Linked DNA regions of Lonchura striata. Each later gene encodes a partner of the first gene's protein in a complex. Links are inferred from orthologs where the notes say so. Each region holds a gene or a part of one and is shown in the gene's direction. Other genes may lie near its edges.

What was found. Proteins that work in one complex are often made in the same cells at the same time.
Region 2: TXNL4A (region 1) and LSM2 share a complex: the UniProt entries of both Homo sapiens proteins name them as parts of the precatalytic spliceosome. The link is inferred for Lonchura striata from reciprocal best matches to the Homo sapiens genes TXNL4A and LSM2.
Region 3: TXNL4A (region 1) and SART1 share a complex: the UniProt entries of both Homo sapiens proteins name them as parts of the U4/U6-U5 tri-snRNP complex. The link is inferred for Lonchura striata from reciprocal best matches to the Homo sapiens genes TXNL4A and SART1.

Annotation. Positions count from the first base shown.
Region 1 is NC_134603.1:84,665,613-84,673,613, forward strand, and holds the start of TXNL4A (thioredoxin-like protein 4A), read left to right. Parts: upstream 1-4,988; 5' UTR 4,989-5,022; coding exon 5,023-5,161; intron 5,162-5,332; coding exon 5,333-5,505; intron 5,506-6,789; exon of another isoform or gene 6,790-6,865; intron 6,866-8,001. UniProt on the Homo sapiens protein: Plays a role in pre-mRNA splicing as component of the U5 snRNP and U4/U6-U5 tri-snRNP complexes that are involved in spliceosome assembly, and as component of the precatalytic spliceosome (spliceosome B complex).
Region 2 is NC_134631.1:266,785-273,961, reverse strand, and holds the start of LSM2 (U6 snRNA-associated Sm-like protein LSm2), read left to right. Parts: upstream 1-4,169; 5' UTR 4,170-4,237; coding exon 4,238-4,240; intron 4,241-4,745; coding exon 4,746-4,813; intron 4,814-5,156; coding exon 5,157-5,187; intron 5,188-6,107; coding exon 6,108-6,167; intron 6,168-7,171; coding exon 7,172-7,177. UniProt on the Homo sapiens protein: Plays a role in pre-mRNA splicing as component of the U4/U6-U5 tri-snRNP complex that is involved in spliceosome assembly, and as component of the precatalytic spliceosome (spliceosome B complex).
Region 3 is NC_134638.1:688,662-696,434, reverse strand, and holds the start of SART1 (U4/U6.U5 tri-snRNP-associated protein 1), read left to right. Parts: upstream 1-4,765; coding exon 4,766-5,075; intron 5,076-5,538; coding exon 5,539-5,590; intron 5,591-5,669; coding exon 5,670-5,725; intron 5,726-6,529; coding exon 6,530-6,656; intron 6,657-7,773. Other genes in the region: amino acid transporter heavy chain SLC3A2, read right to left, coding at 199-388, 1,048-1,112, 1,272-1,340, 1,424-1,518, 1,901-2,077, 3,134-3,581. UniProt on the Homo sapiens protein: Plays a role in mRNA splicing as a component of the U4/U6-U5 tri-snRNP, one of the building blocks of the spliceosome. May also bind to DNA.

The DNA of each region.
Region 1 (8,001 bases):
TCATTTCTTCTTTGTTTCCAATAAATTCCTTAATGGTGATAAGGTGAAAGTGTTTTTTCAAAAGTGCTGCAAGGTCTTGCAGCACACCATGAGTTCCTCCTATATCCAGGATCAAAAGAGCTGGCAACTCTCCTTCTGCCATGACCTGCAACAGAGGAATAGAAGAAATACTCCTTTGTTTAGGAGAACACCCTGAAAGAAGCAATGATGTTCCTTTAAAAGTTATCATTTAAATTCACATGAGTAGATCAGAAAACAAATGGAACTCAACAGTGCTTTTAAACCACAGCCCCACGCTGGTGTGCCACTTATGATGTTCCCCGTTCCTCCCCGGCCCTCCGGGACCCCTCTGGCTAGCTGTCCCCTCAGGAAACCAGGGTTTGCTGCAGTCCCACTGCTCTGGGCTTACCAGGCAGCGGCTGGGTTGGTGTGGTCCGAGCGGCGGCGTGCCACAGTGGCCACAAGGATTCAGGATAAAGATACGAAGAGAGGTCAATTTGTGTGCAGTCCAGAGAAGGTTGTATTGCCTGAATGCCACAGGGACAAAAAGACCCTGGGCAGTTGTCCAGATACAGTTTTTATACAGAAAAATTAAGAGATAAGGTCAAGACAATAGAGACAGTGTCCAGCCTGGGGACATAATGATCATCCCATGGGTCAAGTCCAATGGGAATGGCTCAGGGGAGGGGAAAAGGGGGGTTACAGAAAAATGCTGAAACAAAACTTTCTAGAAACTTGGGGAAATACAGAAATGAATCTTGCTCAGCTTCCAATTCCCAAAGCCCTTCTCCCACCGCGCCTGCATGGTAGCCACACTGCTATATCCAGGATCAAAAGAGCTGGCAACTCTCCTTCTGCCATGACCTGCAACAGAGGAATAGAAGAAATACTCCTTTGTTTAGGAGAACACCCTGAAAGAAGCAATGATGTTCCTTTAAAAGTTATCACTTAAATTCACATGAGTAGGTCAGAAAACAAATGGAACTCAATAGTGTTTTTAATCCACAGTCACTTGGTACTAGCGTGGTATGTCAGACAACTTCCAAGTACTTTTACCAAGAGCTGATTTAGACTATAACACCAAGGAATACCCACACTCTTACATCCAAATCCAGTACTACAAACTGTTCTTCTCAGAGTTTCATGTTACTCCTGAATCAATATTGATTTCATACAAAACTAGTAGCTTTTCTGGTAGCTTACTCACCAATGCCTTTCTATAAGCAGTGCTATGAAACAGGCTGCTAGAAATTTACTCAAAGTTTCTTGCCTGTTGGCTGTGGTTGGTGAAGCCACAGGCAATGTAGGGTGGCACTGAGGCCCAGATAGGTCTGACAAATATCGGCCAAAGATGGTTTACATCTAACAAATTTGCACAATGAAGGGCCACTCTTGGATAGCTGTTAGGCTGCTTGCCTTCAGTGCTTTAAACATTCCAATCTCTACCTGAACTTACCTCATGCAAAATTTAACACACCTATGTGCTGAACCAGTGAGGAAGAGCACTAGAGGAGATACCACTGATAACACAGTCCTTCATGCTAGAACTTTCCTCTGCCCTGAGAGTTTTGAGCCCAGTCCTCTCTACAACACTCCTGCAAATGCACTCTGCAATAAGATAGGGGCTCCACACACAACCAAACATCTAATTGGAGCTCCTATTGGCAAAAGTGGTAGTTGAAGATTTCCTGCATATCTTAATAATAGCTGTGCCTAATTTCCTACAATTATTTTTGCTGTGCTCCACTGACTTTTGATCTCCATCCCATTCTATCTCCTAGACTTGTGTCCAGGAAATCTGATGTTTTGCTACTTGAATCAGAACAATTTTCCACAGCAGTATGCTACTTTATTCTGGGCACACAGTGCTGGTCAGCTGTGTCCTATTGCTTCACTCCTCTCACAAAAGCCTTCTGTGAGTAATCAGAACTCAAACCTGTGACAAAAAAGTGTAAGTGTAGGTTGGAAGGTTTTGTCAACCATTGCCCTGAGCAAACTCATACTTATCCCAACCACATCGATTAAATGGTTACAAGCTCAGCACCAGTACTGCTGTTTTATCCTGGCCTTGATGTGCTTTTCTGCTTCAGTTTCAGTCTGCTTTGTACATGGGCTTGAAGGGGCAGGTCTGCAGTTCACCACAATATCTCTGATAATAGTATCTGGTTTTCAACTACAGCAAACAAAGCAAGGAGGTGAACAGTGCAACCAAATTGCAAAGATCATGTTTTTATATACATCTAATATTTTTTTTACCAGCTGAAGTTGTCAGCCACATGTAGTTGTCAAAATTGCAAATTTCCCCAGATGCAGTCTGCATTTCTTAAGAGTATCATACAACATTACTAGAATAAACTAGATTTGTATTGCAGAATGAATTATGCATAGAATAAAAGAGGAGTTGATGTCATATTGTGATGGCATTGTCCAGCTTCATAAATGATCGGAATCTGGTAATCCTGGAGGGCAGTTAAACCTTCTGCTGTTAAGCAGGGAAAACTGGGCGTCAGACAGGACCAAGTGACTGGTAGATGCCAATGAGGCAGCACTGTATTATTCCATCTGCTTTCATCACCAACCGCTACCCATTGCAATACACCACACATGATGGGCAGAGCCAGACTTGCTTTCACTTTGGAAGCCTTTCCTACACTTCAGAAGCAGAAAGGTGACCCATGAGGAAGCCTCTAGCTATAAACAAACCAGCTGGTGCACTAGAAGCAGGCTAGTGGCATGTTGATGGATCTTTCAATGTGTGTGAGCACGCTGAGCCCACCATTCCAGCTGTTTGATGCATGCATGACCCATTCACTGCCTTCAGCACTGGTTCAACAACAACTGCGTCTTCTGCTTGCCCCAGATACAATCTTAAAAAATTACACTGATAGCAGGAAACAAAAAACACTTAAAGGAACCTCAAAGAAGGAAGGGGGCTCTCCAGATACCAACCTTGGTCCCAATGCTTATTGTTTGTCTTCCATCACTATGTGGGCACATCCTGTAGCTCTATTTGTAAATGACACTTCTGCGACAGCGATGTACACAAGAATAACAACTGGATTAATAAATTCGTACGTCAAATTTGACTGGCCAAACATCAAGGGAATCAGTTTTGAAAGACTTGATGCTTTGCTCCTGAACATAATTATTCAGTTATCAGATGTCTTGTCCAGTGTGCTAAATTTAACAGCTGTCAAGGATATGACATTTTTGGTTTTGGACTAGTACCATCTGCAGTATCACTAAGTTCCTTTTTTTTTCCCTTTTTTTTTTTTTTTTTTTTTTTTTAAGTTGACTCTTCTCCGTTTGTATTTACATAGGACTGTTTACCTACATGCTTCCATGTAGGTAAACAGTCATAATCTCATAATCACATAATCAATGGCAGGACCAGAACTTACTACATTTACCTTATATCAAATGATTTATGTAAGGTAAGTGTAGTAAGTTCTGGTCCTGGCATTGCAGAGAAAACTTTGAAAATATGACTTCGATTAAGACAACGGGGCAAATATATGTAAGTATTAACTTCAGCACTAATTGAAGTTGCCTTATTTCATCTGTGGAGCTTGACGCACTCCTTACTCTCAAATTTGTTGGTTGGCACTGCTGTATCACCTTGGACTTAAATCATAACAAAATAAACCTACATAAATTTTCCTAACTCAGTTTTCAATTAAAGTTAACAGCTTGTGTTATCCGGGATCAATTCCTCCCACTAACTTTTCTGAAGAAGAAGACTTGCTATACCTGAGGGACAACCAAAGCACCCAGCGGGGCTGTTTTTTCTGACGTGCCTTTCACAGCTCGGTCCCGCGGCAGCGGGCAGAGCCAGGAGCTCACGGCCCCGCTCCGGGCCGGGCACAGGCGCTCCTGCCCAGCCCCGCTCGTTTAACCCAGCCCTGCCCGGGCACTGCCGGCGCCGGGGCTGGCGACTCCCAGGGAAGCTCCGGCACGGGGATCACCGCCCCCGCTGCCTCTGCCCGTGGCTACAGCCAGATCGGACTGTCTCTCCTCTCCCTCTCCTTCTCCTGTGCCCGCACGTCCTAAAAAGGCGACAAAGCGAGACTTGGAGGACTTGGATAGTTTTTGGAGAGCTCAGCATTGTTGGGCAAAGCTATTTGTCACCAAATCACATTGCTCACCACAGCCCAAGCTGCACCTTGTGGGGAATTTTTATAGTGAAAACGATACTTTTGTCCCTGCCTGCTGCAAGCTAACCTTTCAAATTAGTGTCTGCTGTGGAATTAAGGAAACAGATTGGTCTGGGATGGCCTATGCCAATGGCCAGCTCGATTGTAGAAACCAGTGCTGGAATGTGCTGGTTTTGCTGCTGACCACTTCCACTGGAACGTTTGCGCAGTGATCCGGTAGTGGTATTTTGATTACTGGAGCGGCGGGAGACCTCATGGAACCCCACCGCCAGTATCGGAGTGGCTGGCAGTGCAGCTGCCACGGCAGGGCCGACACTGGGGGTATGGAAATTGTCATGCTGTGGGTGAATACACTGAGAAAACCTTCCACAGCCAAGAGATGCAATAGCATAGAATCACAGCATGGTTGGGCTGGAACGGACCTTAAAGAGCATCTGGACCCAGCTCCTCTGCTATGGGCACGGACACCTTTCGCTACACCAGGCTGCTCGTCCAACCTGGCCTTGGACTCTTCCAGGAATAGGGCATCCACAGCTTCTCTGAGCATATCTCCTTGGTCAAATCCCATGGAGGCACAGGAGAATGTACTAACAATCAGAGGTCAGCAGCACAGCGTAGGAGATCGGGGCCCTGATCACCTCTGTTTAATCCTCTCCGTGCTAGCCGGCATCACCAATCCCCACGGCACGGCTCCACCTCCCACCTGCGCGTGGGGACGCGGCGGGACGCGGGTGTCCCTGACGGGGTCTCCTCCCGTGGGGAGCGCGCCCGGAAGCGTGTGTGCGTGTGCGTGTGTGCGCGTGTGTGCGCGTGTGCGTGTGTGTGTGTGTGCGCGTGTGTGCGTGTGCGCGTGTCTGTGCGCGTGCGCATGTGTGTGTGTGTCTGTGTGTGTGTGTGTGTGTGTGTGCCTCCGCGCGAGTGCGCGCGCAGCCCCGTGCCCGCCCTTCCGCTTCCCGCCCGTGCCGGCGCTGCCGCCGCTCCGTCTCTGAGGGAAGGGCGCCCGCGGGGTGCGCTGGGGACGGGCTGCGATGGGCACGGGCCGCGGCGGGATAGACGGGCCGCGGCGGGACGGGCGGGCCGCGTGGGGTGGGCGGCACTCGGTGCTGGCGCTCGGCGCCCGCCGGCGCCCCGGGAGGGCCCGGGCTGTCGGCTCCATGTGTATCCCTGCCGTCCCGCAGGCTCCCAGCCGGCCGCCAGGATGTCGTACATGCTGCCGCACTTGCACAATGGGTGGCAGGTCGACCAGGCCATCCTGTCGGAGGAGGACCGGGTCGTGGTCATCCGCTTCGGGCACGACTGGGACCCCACGTGCATGAAGATGGATGAGGTCCTGTACAGCATCGCCGAGAAGGTAAACGGGAGCTTTCTGCTCCTGAGCTCAGTGTTCCCTATGGCTTGCTTGGAGACTGGGGCAGCTTATAACTGGGATTCCGCACAGGTATTCCAGCTTTAGGTGGCAGCGGGAAAGCTGTGTGGTTACACTTTCATGAGTGTCTCCTAAAGACTGCCCTGATGTTTGCAGTGTTCTGGGGGGTGAAAAGAGCATCGTAGATGTTCGGAAATGGAGATTGCTGCCTGTTAATAACCCGTCACTGAGCTGCCATCGGCATTCAGGCAGAAACAGTGCTACTGCGGCTCCAAGTAACCCAGCAGTCTCACTTTACAGTGGAAATGTGTGATACCTTCAGGTTTCTATCTGAGTGACTTGAAAATTTACTTTCATTTTGGCTCTTAAAAGCGGTGAGGTGCTAAAATGTGCAGGATGGTGTTGATTAATCTGTCATTCATATAATTCTGATTAATCTGTCAGTGATGTTATCCATGGACACCAGTAGCATTCCACTGAGTTACATGGACTGAATTAATTTTTTAGAGCTGAACTCCACAGCTGTTTTCAGATGGAAACTGAATGATTATAAACATCTGGTCACTTAAGAAAGATAGATAGATAGATAGATAGGAAAAATTAGAATACACAATCAGCTATAATTTACCTTTTTATATATTTGCTAAAGGATTTGCGAAGCAGTAGATGTAGAATATTGACAGGTCTTTAACTGAACCACATGAAGAAAGAAGTAAAAAAATCTGAATTAGAAACATAACTTGGGTAGGAAAAAGTGCCAGCTATCATAGAATGGTTTGAGTTAGAGGGGACCTTAAAGATCTCATTCCAGCTCTTCTGCTGTGTCTTACACTAGACCAAGTTGCTCAGGGCCCCATCCAGCCTGGCCTTGAACACTGCTAGGAATGGGGCATCCACAACTTCACTGCTTTCATAGAAAATTCTGTGCATGCTGCATAGATTGACATGGAGTTGTTTTTGTGGTTTATTTTGCCTTTGAACTTTTTTAAAATAACTTGAAAGTCCCCACAATTAAAAATCTACACCCACAGCCAGGGGTTAAGATGTATTAGAATGCCGTAAAGAGTTGTGACATGTTTTAATACAGTTGTTTTGTATTCAGCCTGGTGGGAGTGTTATGCTCAGATACTGTTAGTATGGACTTACAGTACTAACTTACTGTTAGTATGGTGGGATGCTTGGCAATTTGGCAGACCTGCTGGCAGCTAGGGGTGACTGGGGGAAGAAAGAACAGAGTAACTTCTTATTTAAAAATCTCCCTCTGCAGAAATGGCAGATTAAAGGGGGAGATCCTACCTCATCTTCTTGCTTACAAGCCATGTTTGGATCTCTGCTGTTTTAAAGAGTGAGTAAAAGTTCCAATTGTACAGGTGTTTATTCTAGAGAATAATACAGAATGTTAACGTGCTATAATTGCAGGCTAAATTTGAAAACAATGTGGCTGTATTTTACACTTGTTACCCTGGTGCAATATTCTTTTAGGCTGCAGCATGTTTTTGGGTAGCAGTAATATTTATCTGTACTTTATGATAGGAGAACAAGGTTTTCTTTTCAGTTTTCACAGGAAAAGAAACTAGAATGCTATGTTAAAGTACAAAGTAGATTGTTTTCCCTGAAATGTACTCCACTTGGAGCTGACTGGGTTTTTCCCCTAGAGTTACATGAAAAAGAAGCAAGGTTTCACTGAATGTCAAAACAAATCATAATTGTAAGATGTTAGAATTTTTTTTTTTTGCTTTGTCAGGGTTTCAATCAAACATTGATTGAAACACGAATTGAGTTCACAAATTTTGCCTTAAACACCTTTTCTAAAAATACACTTTTATATTTTCTTTACAGGGAACTCATAAAAACCTATCCCTTAAAATACAAAGATTGGTTTGCTAGATTAAAACACCTTGTTTAAGAAAGGATTTATCTATTACTGAATATAAATCAGGTAACTGTTGTATTGGATCAGTGTGGGTTTAGGGAGGATTTTTAAAATGTGTATTTATTTAACCATTATCAGAAGTGTGAATAGCTGTGGCTTGTTCTCAAACATTAGTTGTGCCTCTGCATTTCTGGTAAGGTTACATGAAAAGTGAAAGAGGAGAAGAAGGTGGGGTGGAGAAAGAGGCAGTTATGAAAGAAACATATAGGTATTTTAGCTACGGTTGTTTGTAATGAAAAGCTGAGCAAAGTTAATCCATTTACTGATGTCTGTAGTTTTCAAAATTATTAGCTGTCAGCACTGCTCTTGGCAGTACAATGTCTTTCTGTGTTCCCCTAGAAGTTTATACCTAGAGTTACAGCACAATTAGCAAGGAAAAAAAAATCAAATAAATATTGTCAGTACAGACTTTTGGGTTTGTACTTGCTCTGTTCAGTTCAGTAATGCAAGTCTGCCAGCCACCTTCAATTCAGTCATTTGTTGCAAATGCTAGTCTCAGTTTCTGTATTTTCTTCCTATGAATTATTTGTCCATAAAGTAGTGTTCTG
Region 2 (7,177 bases), on another chromosome or scaffold:
ATGGGGACATCGAAGGGGCAGTGGGGACAGGGGGGACATGGAGGGGACAAGGAGGGGACAGTGGGGCCAGGGTGGGGACACATGGGGACAGCAGGGGGACATGGCGGGGACATGGAGGGGACACGGTGGGTCACAGCCCCTGCCCCGGCCTGTGTCACCATCCCTGTCCCCGTCCCTGTCCCTGCCCTGTCCCCATCCTGTCCCTGTCCCTGTCCCCATCCTGTCCCTGTCCCTGTCCCCATGTCCTCCTCCCTGTCCCTGTCCCTGTCCCCATCCTGTCCCTGTCCCTGTCCCCATGTCCTCCTCCCTGTCCCTGTCCCCATCCTGTCCCTGTCCCTGTCCCCATGTCCTCCTCCCTGTCCCTGTCCCTGTCCCTGTCCCTGTCCCTGTCCCTGTCCCCATCCTGTCCCTGTCCCCATGCCACATCCCTCATGTCCCAGCCCTGTCCCCACATCCTGTCCCCACGTCCTCACCCTGTTCCCGTGTCCCCACCCACCCACCCACCCCCGCCTTCCCGATGTCCCCGACCTGTCCCTGTGTCCCCGTCCCCGTGTCCCCACCCTGTCCCTGTCCCTGTGTCCCTGTCCCTGTCCCGATGTCCCCGACCTGTCCCTGTGTCCCTGTCCCCGTGTCCCCACCCTGTCCCTGTCCCTGTGTCCCTGTCCCTGTCCCGATGTCCCCAACCTGTCCCCAGAGTCTGTTGTGTCCCTGTCCCTGTCCCTGTCCCTGTCCCTGTCCCTGTCCCTGTCCCTGTCCCCAGTGTCCCTGTCTCCAGTGTCCCCATCCCTGTCACCATGTCCCTGTCCCAATGTCCCTGACATGTCCCCGTGTCCCTCTCCCCGTGTCCCTGTCCCTGTCCCGATGTCCCCACCCTGTCCCCATGTCCCTGTCCCTGTCCCAATGTCCCCAACCTGTCCCTGTGTCCCTGTGTCCCTGTGTCCCTGTCCCTGTCCCGATGTCCCCACCCTGTCCCCGTGTCCCTGTCCCTGTCCCAATGTCCCCAACCTGTCCCTGTGTCCCTGTGTCCCTGTGTCCCTGTGTCCCTGTCCCTGTCCCTGTCCCGATGTCCCCAACCTGTCCCCAGCGTCTGTTGTGTCCCTGTCCCTGTCCCCGTGTCCCCACCCTGTCCCCATGTCCCTGTCCCTGTCCCGATGTCCCCAACCTGTCCCTGTGTCCCTGTGTCCCTGTCCCTGTCCCAATGTCCCTGTCCCTGTGTCCCTGTGTCCCTGTCCCTGTCCCGATGTCCCTGTCCCTGTCCCCAGTGTCCTTGTTCCTGTCCCGATGTCCCCAACCTGTCCCCAGCGTCTGTTGTGTCCCTGTCCCTCTCCTGATGTCCCCAACCTGTCCCCATGTCCCTGTCCCTGTCCCGATGTCCCCAACCTGTCCCTGTGTCCCTGTCCCTGTCCCGATGTCCCTGTCCCTGTCCCCAGTGTCCTTGTTCCTGTCCCGATGTCCCCAACCTGTCCCCAGCGTCTGTTGTGTCCCTGTCCCTGTCCCCGTGTCCCCACCCTGTCCCCATGTCCCTGTCCCTGTCCCGATGTCCCCATCCCTGTCCCTGTGTCCCTGTGTCCCTGTGTCCCTGTCCCTGTCCCGATGTCCCCACCCTGTCCCCATGTCCCTGTCCCTGTCCCGATGTCCCCAACCTGTCCCTGTGTCCCTGTGTCCCTGTGTCCCTGTCCCTGTCCCTGTCCCAATGTCCCCAACCTGTCCCTGTGTCCCTGTGTCCCTGTGTCCCTGTCCCTGTCCCTGTCCCGATGTCCCCAACCTGTCCCTGTGTCCCTGTGTCCCTGTGTCCCTGTGTCCCTGTGTCCCTGTGTCCCTGTCCCTGTCCCTGTCCCTGTCCCCGTGTCCCCAACCTGTCCCTGTGTCCCTGTGTCCCTGTCCCTGTCCCAATGTCCCTGTCCCTGTCCCCAGTGTCCTTGTCCCTGTCCCGATGTCCCCAACCTGTCCCCAGCATCTGTTGTGTCTCTGTCCCTGTCCCTGTTCTTGTCCCCATGTCCCCATGCCTGTCCCAATGTCCCCTACCTGTCCCAGTGTCCCTGTCCCTGTCCCCGTGTCCCCACCCTGTCCCGTGCCATCCCTGTCCCCTCCCTGTCTCCTTCCTGTCCCCATCCCGTCCCCAATGTCCCCATCCCTGTCCTCGTCCCTGTCCCCTCCCTGTCCCCTCATTGTCCCCATCCCTGTCCCTGTCCCCGATGTCCCCAATGTCCCCATCCCCAATGTCCCCAATGTCCCCTCCCTGTCCCCAGTGTCCCCAATGTCCCCGATGTCCCATCCCTGTCCCCACCCAGTCCCCAATGTCCCCGATGTCCCCGATGTCCCCTCGCTGTCCCCACTCACCGACAGCTCCGTCGATGTCGGGGTGGCCCCGGGGCCGCCCTTAAATCCCCGAGGTGACAGGGGGGAGGTGACACCGGAGGTGACAGGGGGGAGGTGGCACCGGAGGTGACAGGGCAGGTGACAGGGAAGGTGCCAGGTGGGTGCCAGGTGGGTGACAAGGGGCAGGTGACACCGGAGGTGACACGGGAGGTGCCAGGTGGGTGCCAGGACGGTGACAGGGCGCAGGTGACAGCGGAGGTGGCACCGGAGGTGACAGGGGGCAGGTGACAGCGGCAGGTGACAGGGGAGGTGACACTCGGTGACAGACTCTGGTGACACTCGGTGCCATCACCGCCAGCCTGGCCGGTTCTCCCGGTCCCCACCTGGCCACGCGTGGGCGAGGGTGGCCTGGGAGGGGACACGGGGACAGGGGACACGTGGGGGACATTGGGGACATTGGGACATTGGGGGGGCACTGGGGACATTGGGGACATTGGGGACATTGGGACATTGGGGACATTGGGGACATTGGGGGGACATTGGGACATTGGGGACAGTGGGGACATTGGGGACATTGGGGACATTTGGGGCACATTGGGGACAGTGGGGGACACTGGGGGGACATTGGGGGGACATTGGGGGGACATTGGGGACATTGGGACATTGGGGGGGCACTGGGGACATTGGGGACAGTGGGGACATTGGGGACATTGGGGACATTGGGGGGACATTGGGGACATTTGGGGGACATTTGGGGGACATTGGGGACATTTGGGGGACATTGGGGACATTGGGGACATTGGGACATTGGGGGGACATTGGGGACATTGGGGACATTGGGACATTGGGGGACATTGGGGGGACATTGGGGACATTGGAACATTGGGGGGACATTTGGGGCACATTGGGGACAGTGGGGGGACATTGGGGGGGCACTAGGGACACTGGGGACATTGGGGGGACATTGGGGGACATTGGGGGGACATTGGGGGGACATTGGGGACATTGGGGACATTGGGGGGACATTGGGGACATTGAGGGGACATCGGGGACATTGGGGACATTGGGGGGACATCGGGGGGACATTGGGGACATTGGGGACACTGGGGACATTGGGGGGGACATTGGGGGGACATTGGGGACATTGGGGGGACATTTGGGGGGACATTGGGGACATTGGGGACATTGGGGGGACATTGGGGGGGACATTGGGGACATTGGGGGGACATCGGGGACAGGGAGGGGACATTGGGGACACTGGGGACATTGGGGGGACATCGGGGGGACATTGGGGACATTGGGGACACTGGGGGACATTGGGGACATTGGGGGGACATCGGGGACAGGGAGGGGACATTGGGGACATTGGGGACATTGGGGGCTTTGGGGGGACATTGGGGACATTGGGGGCTTTGGGGACATCGGGGACATTGGGGGGACATTGGGGGGACATTGGGGGGACATTGGGGGACATTGGGGACATTGGGGGGGACATTGGGGGGACATTGGGGACATTGGGGGGACATTGGGGGGACATTGGGGGGACATTGGGGGACATTGGGGACGTTGGGGGGGACATTGGGGACATTGGGGACATTGGGGACATTGGGGGGACATTGGGGGACATTGGGGGGGACACTGGGGGTCACAGGGGTCACGGGGGGGGTCACAGGGGTCACAGCACCCCCTCCTCCCGGTGACCTTTGACCCCGGGGCGCGCGCCTGACTCATTTCCCGCCACCCCCGCGGTGGGCGTGGCCTCGGCGGCGCGGGGGTGGGCGTGGTTCCGGCGAGCGGGCGGAGCTTAAAAGCGAGAACCCAACGGTGATTGGCCAGGGGGCGTGGCCTCGGCGGCGGAGGGGGCGTGGCCGGCGGCGGAAGGGGGCGTGGCCTGCGCGGCGCGCTCCGGCGGGCGGAGATGGTGAAAGGGGGGGGGGGCGGGGGATCTGGGGGGATTTTGGGGGATTTTGGGGGGTCCGAGGCGGGTTTGGGGGATTTTGGGGGTCTCAGGGGGAATTTTGGGGGGCTTTTGGGGTCTGAAGGGATTTTGGGGTGTCCGAGGGGGGTTTGGAGGGGTCTGGGGGGATTTTGGGGTCCGGGGTCATTTGGGGAGCTCCGGGGGGATTTTTGGGGGGGTCCGAGGGGATTTGGGGGGGTCCGGGGGGGTTTGGGGACTCAAAGGGGGTTTGGGGGTCTCGGGGGGGATATTTGGGGGGATTTGGGTTGGATTTTGGGGGGCCTCGGAGGGGATTTGGGGGGTCCGGGAGGGATTTGTAGGGTTTTGGGTGGGTTTGGGGTTTTTTTGGGTGACTCGGGGGGGTTCTGGGTCCGGGCGGGGTTTTGGGGGTCCGAGGAGGTTTTTGGGGTCCCCGGGGGGATTTGGGAGCCCCCCAAAACCCCCCTGACCCCCCCCGTGCCCCCCTCAGCTGTTTTACTCCTTCTTCAAGTCCCTGGTGGGCAAAGACGTGGTGGTGGAGCTGAAAAACGACCTCAGGTGAGGGGGACCCCCAAAATCCCCCCCAAAAACCCCCCTGGGACCCCCCAAAAATCCCACCGGGACCCCCAAAATCCCCCCCAGCCCTGGGACCCCCCAAAAACCCCACCCAGGACCCTCCAAAAGCCACCTGGGACCCCCCAAAACCCTCCTGGAAACCCCTGGGACCTCCAAAATCCCTCTGGGACCTCCAAAACCCCCCCTGGGAACCCCAAAACCCACCCTGGGACCCCCAAAAACCCCTTGGGACCCCCAAAACCCCCCATGGAACCCCAAAACCCCCCCTGGGATCCCCAAAAACCCCCCCAGGGACCCCCAAAACTCTCCCCGTGTCTCCCCCCAGCATCTGCGGGACCCTGCACTCGGTGGATCAGGTGAGTGGGGGTCCCTGGGGGGATTTTGGGGGTCCCTGGGGGGGATTTTGGGGGTCCCAGGAGGATTTTGGGGGTCCCTGGAGGGGTTTTGGGAGAGTCTCTTGGTGGTCCTAGAGGGATTCTGGGGGTCCCTGGGGGGATTTTGGGGGTCCCAGGGGGGGTTTTGGGGGATCCAGGGTGGATTTTGGGGGTCTCTGGGGGGATTTTTGGGGGTTCTGGGGGGCTCTGGGTGGATTTTGGGGGATTTTGGGGGTCTCTGGGGGCATTTTTGGGGGTCTCTGGGGGGGATTTTGGGGTCTCTGGGGTAATTTTGGGGTCTTTGGGGTAATTTTGGGGGTCTCTGGGTTGATTTGGGGGTCTCTGGGGTAATTTTGGGGGTCTCTGGGTTGATTTGGGGGTCTCTGGGGTAATTTTGGAGGTCTCTGGGTGGATTTGGGGGTCTCTGGGGTAATTTTGGGGTAATTTTGGGGGTCTCTGGGGTAATTTTGGGGTAATTTTGGGGTCTCTGGGGTAATTTTGGGGGTCTCTGGGGTAATTTTGGGGTAATTTTGGGGGTCTCTGGGTGGATTTGGGGGTCTCTGGGGTAATTTTGGGGTAATTTTGGGGGTCTCGGGTAATTTTGGGGTCTCTGGGGTAATTTTGGGGTAATTTTGGGGGTCTCGGGTAATTTTGGGGTAATTTTGGGGGTCTCTGGGGGGATTTGGGGGTCTCTGGGGTAATTTTGGGGTAATTTTGGGGGTCTCTGGGTTGATTTGGGGGTCTCTGGGGTAATTTTGGGGTAATTTTGGGGTCTCTGGGGTAATTTTGGGGTAATTTTGGGGTTCTCTGGGTGGATTTGGGGGTCTCTGGGGTAATTTTGGGGTAATTTTGGGGGTCTCTGGGGTAATTTTGGGGGTCTCTGACCCCCCCGTGCCCCCCAGTACCTGAACATCAAACTGACCGACATCAGCGTCACCGACCCCGAGAAGTACCCGCACATGGTGGGCATTTGGGGGATTTTGGGGATTTTGGGGATTTTGGGGGGATTTTGGGAGATTTTAGGGTGATCTGGGGGGGATTTTGGGGGATTTGGGGAGATTTTGGGAGATTTTGGGGAGATTTTTGGGGGATTTTGGGAGATTTTGGGGAGAATTTGGGGGATTTTGGGAGATTTTGGGGAGATTTTTGGGGAGATTTTGGGGTGATCTGGGGGGATTTTGGGGATTTCTGGGAAGGATTTTGGGGAGATTTTTGGGGTTACCTGGGGGGATTTTGGAGCGTTTCTCTCTGTTTTTTGGGGGGATTTCTCTGGGGATTTTTGGGATTTTTTGGGGTGCATCTCAGGAATTTTTGGGGTGTCTGTGGGTGAATTTTGGGGTGTCTGTGGGTGAATTTTGGGGTGCCTTTCCCCCCAGCTCTCGGTGAAGAACTGCTTCATCCACGGCTCCGGGGGCGTTTTTGGGGGGAATCTTTGTTTTTTCGGGGTTTTTGGGGGGATTTCTCGGGGATTTTTGGGGGGATTTCTCTGGGGATTTCTCTGGGGATTTTGGGGATTTTTTGGGATGTGTCTCAGGAATTGTTGGGGTGTCCCCGGGTGAATTTTGGGGTGCCTTTCCCCCCAGCTCTCGGTGAAGAACTGCTTCATCCGCGGCTCCGGGGGCGTTTTTGGGGGAATCTTTGTCTGTTTTTTCAGCGTTTTTGGGGGGATTTCTCTGGGGATTTTTTGGGGTGTATCTCAGGAATTGTTGGGGTGTCCCCGGGTGAATTTTGGGGTGCTCTCCCCCCAGCTCTCGGTGAAGAACTGCTTCATCCGCGGCTCCGGGGGCGTTTTTGGGGGGAATCTTTGTTTTTTCGGGGTTTTTGGGGGGATTTCTCGGGGATTTTTGGGGGGATTTCTCTGGGGGTTTTTGGGGGGATTTCTCTGGGGATTTTGGGGATTTTTTGGGGTGTTTCTCAGGAATTGTTGGGGTGTCCCCGGGTGAATTTTGGGGTGCTCTCCCCCCAGCTCTCG
Region 3 (7,773 bases), on another chromosome or scaffold:
TGGAGGGTCCCGGGGAGGTTTTGGGGCTCCTGGAGGGATCTGGGGGGTCCCGGGGAGGTTTTGGGGCTCCTGGAGGGATCTGGAGGGTCCCAGGGAGGTTTTGGGGCTCCTGAAGGGATCTGGGGGGTCCCGGGGAGGTTCTGGGGCTCCTGGAGGGATCTGGGGGGTCCCGGGGAGGTTTTGGGGGGCAGCACTCACGCTCCAGCCCAGCCCCACGGAGGAGTTGGAGCTGAGGAAGTTGAGGAGGTTCCTCACAACGTCCTCGGGGGCCTTGGAGTCGCCCTTGGGCTCCAGGGGCTGCAGGAAGGGTCCCAGCAGCAGCTGCGGCATCCCCGGGCCCCGCGGCACCTCCCAGGGGTCCTGCAGGCGCGTGCCCCCCACCAGCACCCTAAAAACAGACAGGGGCACCCCAAAAATGGGGGGGATGAGTCAGGGGAGAGCCCTGAAAATCAGGGGGAAAAGTCAGGGGAGAGCCCTGAAAATGAGGAGCAAAAGATCAGAGGAGACGCCAAAAAATGAAGAGGAAACAGGTAAGTACCCCAAAAATCAGGGGGGAAAAGGCAGGGAAGCACCCCAAAAATGAATAGGAAAAAGTCAGGTGAGTACCCCTAAAAATCAGGGGGGAAAAGTCAGGGGAGCACCCCAAAAATGAGGAGGGAAAGAGCAGGGGGACACCTGGAAAACAGGGAGGATGAATCACAGGAGAACCCCAAAAATGTGGGGGAAGGTCAAGGGAGCACCTCAAAAATGAAGATCAGAGCAACAACCAAAAAACAACCTTTTCCTGACCTAGAAAAGGCCAGGGAAGCACCCCAAAAATAGGGGCAAAAGGTCAGAAAATCACCCCAAAAATGGGGGCGGGAAGGTCAGGGGAGCACTCCCAGCACCCCAAAATACAAGGAAGAAACCCATGAGGCAAAGAGTGAGAGGAGGAGAGGTTTGGGGGGGAGTCAGTGAGTTTGGGGGTGACACAGGGGACACATTTTGGGGTCAGTGAGTTTGGGGGGACATTGGGGTGACACAGGGACGTTTTTTGGGGGGTCGCACCTGTCCACACCGCTGGGGCTCGGCTGCTGCTCCGTCAGGTTCCTCCACTGGGCCACCACCAAGTTCTGGGGGGACACAGCGGGGGTCACCAGAGATCCTAAAGACCCCCCAAAATTCTACCCCAAACCCCCAAAATTCTACCCCAAACCCCCAAACCCCCAAAATTCTACCCCAAACCCCCAATTCCACCCCAAACTCCCCCAAATCCCCCCCAGCCCCCTCACCGGGAGCTCCTCGATGCCATCCAGGAAGATCCCAGCAATGTCCTCCTTCAGCCAATGGCTCAGGGCGGCCTGGGGGGGCACAGGGGGGGTTCAGGGGGGTCCCCCACACCCCCAAGCCCCCCACCCCCACCCCACAGCCCCCCCAGACCCACCTGGACCTGCTGGTGCACCTCAGAGTCTTGGGCTGCGTCCCCCCACACCGGATTCCCGGCGGGGTTTGGGGTCAGGTCCAGGATCACCTTCACCCCTGGGTGAAAATGGGGGGGTCAGGGCACCCCAAAACCCCCCCAGCATCACAGACCCCCCCCCCCACTATGGGGGATCCCCCTTTTTTGGGGGCTCCTTCTGCCTTGCTAAACAGCCAACCATGGGAACCCCCAAACTGAGGCTCCCACTGCATTCCCCCCCCACCCCCAATTTTGGGGGTGTCCCCCCCCATCAATTTTGTGCCCCTCAAATTTTGGGGGTCTTCCCCTTCAATTCTCTGCTGCCCCTCCCCCAAATTCAAGCTCTCCATTTTTCCCCGCCCCGTATCCAACATTTCCCCCAAATTCTGGGGTTCCTCCCAGTGTCCCCCCGCCCCCAGTTTTGGGGTCGTCCCCCCCAATTTTGGGGTGCCCCCAGCTCACCTTTGTCCTTGGCTGCATGCACCAGGGCGCTGAAGTCCTGCATGGTGCCCAGGGTGGGGTCCAGCTCCTTCAGGGGGGGGATTTTGGCCTCGGGGGATTTTTGGGGGTACACGGGGCCCAGCACCAGCCCCCCCACCTGCAGCTTCTCCTTCAGGTACCCCAAACGTTTCTCCACACCTGGAGAGGAGGAAAAAGGGGTGAACCCCAAATCTGACCCGACAACACAACCCCAAAATCCCACCTAGACCCCAAAACCAGCCCCTGGGTCCTAAAACGTCCTCCCAGGATCCCAAGATCACCCCAAAATTGGAGGAAACTCCAAAATCCCCAAAATTTGGGGGCCCGCTCAGGCTTTGAGCAATTCCCAGAGATCGTGGGACTCCCCTAAAGTGGAGGAACCCCCCAAGTTGCTGAGTCACTTGTCCCCAGGCTCTTTTATGGGTGGGGGGGTCCTGAAATGGGGGTCCCCAATCTGATCCTGTGGGTTCTTTTTGGTAAATCACCCTGACACATGCTGGGGGGGCACTGAAACGACTCCCCCCACAAAATATTCTTTAATTCATTTTAGGGGTTTATTAAATGGGGTGTTCCCCCCCCCTCACAGGCTCCCAGGAGACCCCCAAACCTTCCTGGGGATGCCCCCAACCCTCCGAACCTCCCCAGAACCAGGCTGGAGACTCCCTAAACACCCCCAACTCACCTCTAGGGATCCCCCAAACTTCCTAAGCCCCCCAGAGAACACCCCCCAAATTCCTTCTGCCATCCCCTAGGACCCTTCGACCCTCTCCCACCCCCAAAATTACTTTCTAAACCCCCCCAAACCCCTCATGGGACCCCCCCCAAATTCCCCCAGCCATCCTCTGGGACCCTCCCACCCCCAAAATTACTCTCTAAACCCCCCCAAACCCCCCATGGGATCCCCCCATATTTCCCTAGCCATCCTCTGGGACCCTCCCACCCCCCAAAAGGACCCCGACCCCCCCCAAATTCCTCCAGCCATCCTCTGGGACCCTCCCACCCCCAAAATTACTCTCTAAACCCCCCCCATGGGATCCCCCCAAATTCCCCCAGCCATCCTCTGGGACCCTCCCACCCCCCAAATTACTCTCTAAACCGCCCCCAAACACCTCATGGGACCCCCCCCAAGGGATCCCCCCAAATTCCCCCAGCCATCCTCTGGGACCCTCCCACCCCCCAAACTCCCAGGAGACCTCCCCAAAACCCCCCCCTCACCTTTCAGATCACCTCCAAAAGCCTTGGGGGGAGCCCTGTAGAGCGCCCCGAGCTCCCACCAGGCTTTGGTGGGCAGGGGCTGGCAGCGGGGCGCTTGCGCCACGATGGCAGCGGCGGCCCCCAACATCCCGATCCAGCCCCCCCAGAAGAGCACGAGCAGCACCAGGCGGGCCCGGGCCCAGAGCGGCGTCCCCGCTTCCCTCAGCAGCTCCTCCTTGCCCAGCCCCGTGAATTTGGGGCTCCCCGAAGGCGCCGAACCCCCTAAAGGAGCCTCTTCTTCCTCCTCGGGGGGGATCTTCATCTTCAGGCCGTTCTTCTCCACGCCCGGCAGCTGCTCCGGGGCTGGGGGAGGCTGCGCGGGGGTCGCGGGCTCGGCCGCCGCCATCGGCTCCGTCTCGGCCTCCAGCGCCGACAGCTCCAGCTCGCGGGGTGCCGCCTCGGGCTCCATCTGGGGGGGAAATAAAACACCCCGAAATGTTCAGAAAAACCCCGAGCCCCAAAAGGCTTCGGGGCGGGGTTGAACTCTCACCCCACGAACGGCCTCTGAACCCCGACTTTATCCCCCCCCACCGTGGGGAAAGCGTCTTAAAGAGATCCAAAGGTGCTCCCCGCACCCCAAAACCTCCTCGGTAGCACCCTAAAATCCTCTTAGCGCGGGTTTCAAGCTCCTCTTGAGTATCTAACACCCCTCACCCCAGGGACCTCAAAAGCCTCACAGAGGCCCCAGAACGCCCCAAGATCTTTCCAGGCCTCGCGGCCGCACCTCAACGAGTCCCTGAACGAGCAAATCCGCCCTTGGGGGGGATCTCGAGCCCTTCCCGCACACCCCAAAATCCTCAAAGAGGCTTTTGCGCCCCCCAGAAGCGCCCCGCCGAGCTCGAGCCCCCTCAGAGCAGGCGGCACCTTCGCCGATGCCTCGTGACGGGGCTGAGGGGGGGAGGCTCGGCGCAGCCTTTTATACCCCGGCAAACCACGCCCACTTTCACTGACCACGCCCCCTGGCGCCGCCGCGGCGCCCGGCCCGGGCGGATCAAAGAGCACGAGGCGGGGGGGGCCGGACACGCCCCGGGGCGAACGGGGCGGGACAGAGCCCCGGAGGGCGCGTTTTGGAGTCTCTGGTTTGCGCCACCGCTCAGCGGAACGCCACTTATGGGGCTCGTGCCTTTTTCTTCTCCCGGAGGGTTCTCTACGCCCCCGTCCTTTTCGGGGTACCCCCCATGCGCCGCCATTTTGCCACACCCCAAGCAGCCGCCATTTTGCTGTTGTCAAAGTCTCTATTCAGCGCTGCTAGGCGCAGCCATTTTGCTGTGCCCCGGGGGTGCGCTATTTACGGAGCCCCCTCATCGGGCAGACCGCACGGGGTCTCCTCACTGGGAACCGAGTCGGGAGATCCTCGGTGCCTCTTACGGAGATCTTCAGCCCTTTGTGGGGGGACAGGACGGCGTCACAACCATCCTGCTCATTCTGCCCACCCCTCCGCGCGCATAATGGTTCATCCCACAGCGCCCCCTCAAGTCCCGCCTAAACCTCGGCCAATCAGCACCGCGCTCCGCAGGAAGTAGCCAAACACCGGAAGCGTCTCCATGGCAACCACCGGAAGTGCCGCTGTCTCCCGGAAGTGGCGGCGCGGCCATGGGCGCCTCGAAGAAGCACCGGGAGCGCGGCGGGGCCGAGGCGGCCGAGGAGACCCCGGGAGCGGCCGGGACGGGCGGCGGCGGCAGCGCGGGGCGGCCCCGCGAGCACCGCAAGCACCGGCACCGCGGCGGGGAGCGGCGCGGGAAGCGCAGCCGCTCCCGGGGCGAGCGCGGGGGCTCCGGGGGAGGCTCCGGTTCCTCCCGGCGCGGAGGAGCCGAGGAGAGCGGGAGGAGCGGCCATGGCCGGGGCGGCACCGAGAGCGAGCGGAGAGCGAAGAGGGAGAGGAAGGAGGAGCGGGAGGAGCCCGGTGAGGGCGGGGGGAAAGGTTGGGGGGGGCTGGGAAGTTTTGGGGAGGAATTTGGGGTTTGGGGAGGGATTTGAGGGGGAGTTTGGGGGGATTTTGGGGTGTCGGGAGGGGCTCGGGGGTGCTGGAGGTGATTTTGGGGGGGGTTTCAGGGGCACAGCAAAGATTTGGGGTGCTGGAGGATTTGCGGGGGTTGGAGGAGGTTTTGGGGTGCAATTAGTGGGATTTTGAGGGGGGGTTGTTGCAGCTGGGGGTGATTTTGGGGGTTTGGGGGGGGCAGCTTTGGATGAGAGAGACCCCAGAGGGATTTTGGGGGGTTAAAGGTGAAATTTGGGGCGTTAAAGGGGATTTTGGAGAGATTAAAGAGAACTTTGGGGTATTCAGTGGGAATTTTGGGGTTTTGAGTGTTACAACCGCTCCCCTAATTCTAATTAATTACTAATAATTTATTAATTATCCTCTCCAGCCCCTCCTAAACCCGCAGCAGGCGAATCCTCCCTGAGCGTGGAAGAAACCAAGTGAGGACCCCACCCCAAATCCCCCAAAATTGGGGTCCCCCCACCCCAAACCTCCCCTGAGCCCTTTCCCTGTTCCCAGTAAGCTCCGGGCCAAACTGGGACTGAAACCGCTGGAGACCGGCCCGGCCAAGAAAGGTGAGGGGATTTTGGGGAAATTTGGGGGATTTTTGGGGTGCTTGGGGCTGGTTTTGGGGCCGATTTCAGTGATTTTGGGGCGCTGCCCAGAGGTGATTTTCGGGTGATTGTGGAGTGCCCCGAGGACGATTTGGGGCTGATTCTGAGGTGCTGCTGGGGGGTGATTTGGGATGGATTTTGGGGTGCCCCAGGGCTGGTTTTGAGGTTGATTTTGGGGTTGATTTCCTTGGTTTTGGGGTGGATTATGGGGCTGATTTTGGGGTGGATTGTGAAGTGCCTGGGACTGATTTTGGGGTGCTGCCCGGGGCTGATTTTGGGGCCAATTTCACTGATTTTGGGGCCAATTTCACTGATTTTGGGGTGGATTATGGGGCTGATTTTGGGGTGGATTGTGAGGTGCCTGGGACTGATTTTGGGGCGCTGCCCGGGGCTGATTTTGGGGCCAATTTCACTGATTTTGGGGTGGATTATGGGGCTGATTTTGGGGTGGATTGTGAGGTGCCTGGGACTGATTTTGGGGCACTGCCCAGGGCTGATTTTGGGGTCAATTTCACCGATTTTGGGGCTGATTTCACCGATTTTTGGGTGGATTACGGGGTTGATTTTGGGGTGGATTGTGGGGTGCCCTGGGGCTGATTTTGGGGCCGATTTCACTGATGTTTGGGGCTGATTTTGGGGCTGATTTCACCGATTTTGGGGCCGGTTTTGGGGCTGATTTCACTGATGTTTGGGGCTGATTTTGGGGCTGGTTTTGGGGTTGATTTCACTGATTTTGGGGCCGGTTTTGGGGCGCTGCCTGGGCAGAGGCGGGCACCAAGGAGGAGCCGGTGGCAGCCGAGCTGATCAATCCCCTGGCGCTGCGGCAGCGCGAGGAGATCCGTGAGAAGCTGGCGGCGGCCAAGGAGAAACGGCTGCTGAACCAGAAACTGGGGTACGGGGGGGATTGGGGAGGAATTGAGGGGGTTTGGGGAGGATTTGGGGGGTTTAGGGAGGATTTGGGGAGGATTTTGGGGGGTTTGGGGAGGAATTGGGGGAATATGGGGAGGAATTGGGGGAATTTGGGGAGGATTTGGGGAGGATTTGGGGGGATTGGGGAGGAATTGGGGGAATATGGGGAGGAATTGGGGAGGTTTGGGGAGGATTTGGGGAGGTTTGGGGAGGATTTGGGGGGGTTTGGGGAGGAATTGGGGGAATATGGGGAGGAATTGGGGGGGTTTGGGGAGGATTTGGGGGGATTGGGGAGGAATTGGGGGGGTTTGGGGAGGATTTGTGGGGATTGGGGGGGTTTAGGGAGGATTTGGGGGGATTGGGGAGGATTTGGGGGAATATGGGGAGGATTTTGGGGGGTTTGGGGAGGAATTGGGGGGGTTTAGGGGGCATTTGGGGTGGAATTGGGGGGATTTGGGGGTGTTTGGGGTGGAACTGGGGGGGCTGAAGGGCATTTGAGGAGGAACTGGGAGGATTTGGGGGTTTTTGGGGTGCTGAGAGGAATTTGGGAGGGTTTGAGAAAGAATTGGGGGGTGTAAGGGGCCTGGGAGAGCGTATGGAGGGATTTTGGGGGGAATTTAGGAGGAATTGGGGGTGTTATTGGGGATTTTGGCAGGGCTGAGAGGAATTTGGGAGGAATTTGGGTGTTTTGGGGAGATTTGGGAGTGTTTAGGGAGGATTTGGGGGTGTTTGTGGGTTTTGGGGGGGGATGAGAGGAATTTGGGAGGAATTGGGGGGTTTGGGAGGTGTTTAGGAGAGTTTTGGGGGAGCTGGGAGGGGATTTGGGGGGTTTGGGGAGGAACTGGGAATTCCCGGGAGGGTTTGGGGGGATTTGGGATTTTCAGGGGGAATTTTGGGGGGCCAGGATGGGATTTTGGGGCATATGAAAAATTTGGAGAGCATCTGGGAGGAGATTTTAGGGCACAGGGAATATTTTAGGAGATTGTGAGGAGCACAAAAAAGAATTTGGGGTAGAATTTTTAGATGCAAGAAAAGGTTTTTAGGAGTATTGAGAAAAATCTGGAATCGCTGGGATGCAGAGAAGAGATCCAGGAGGATTT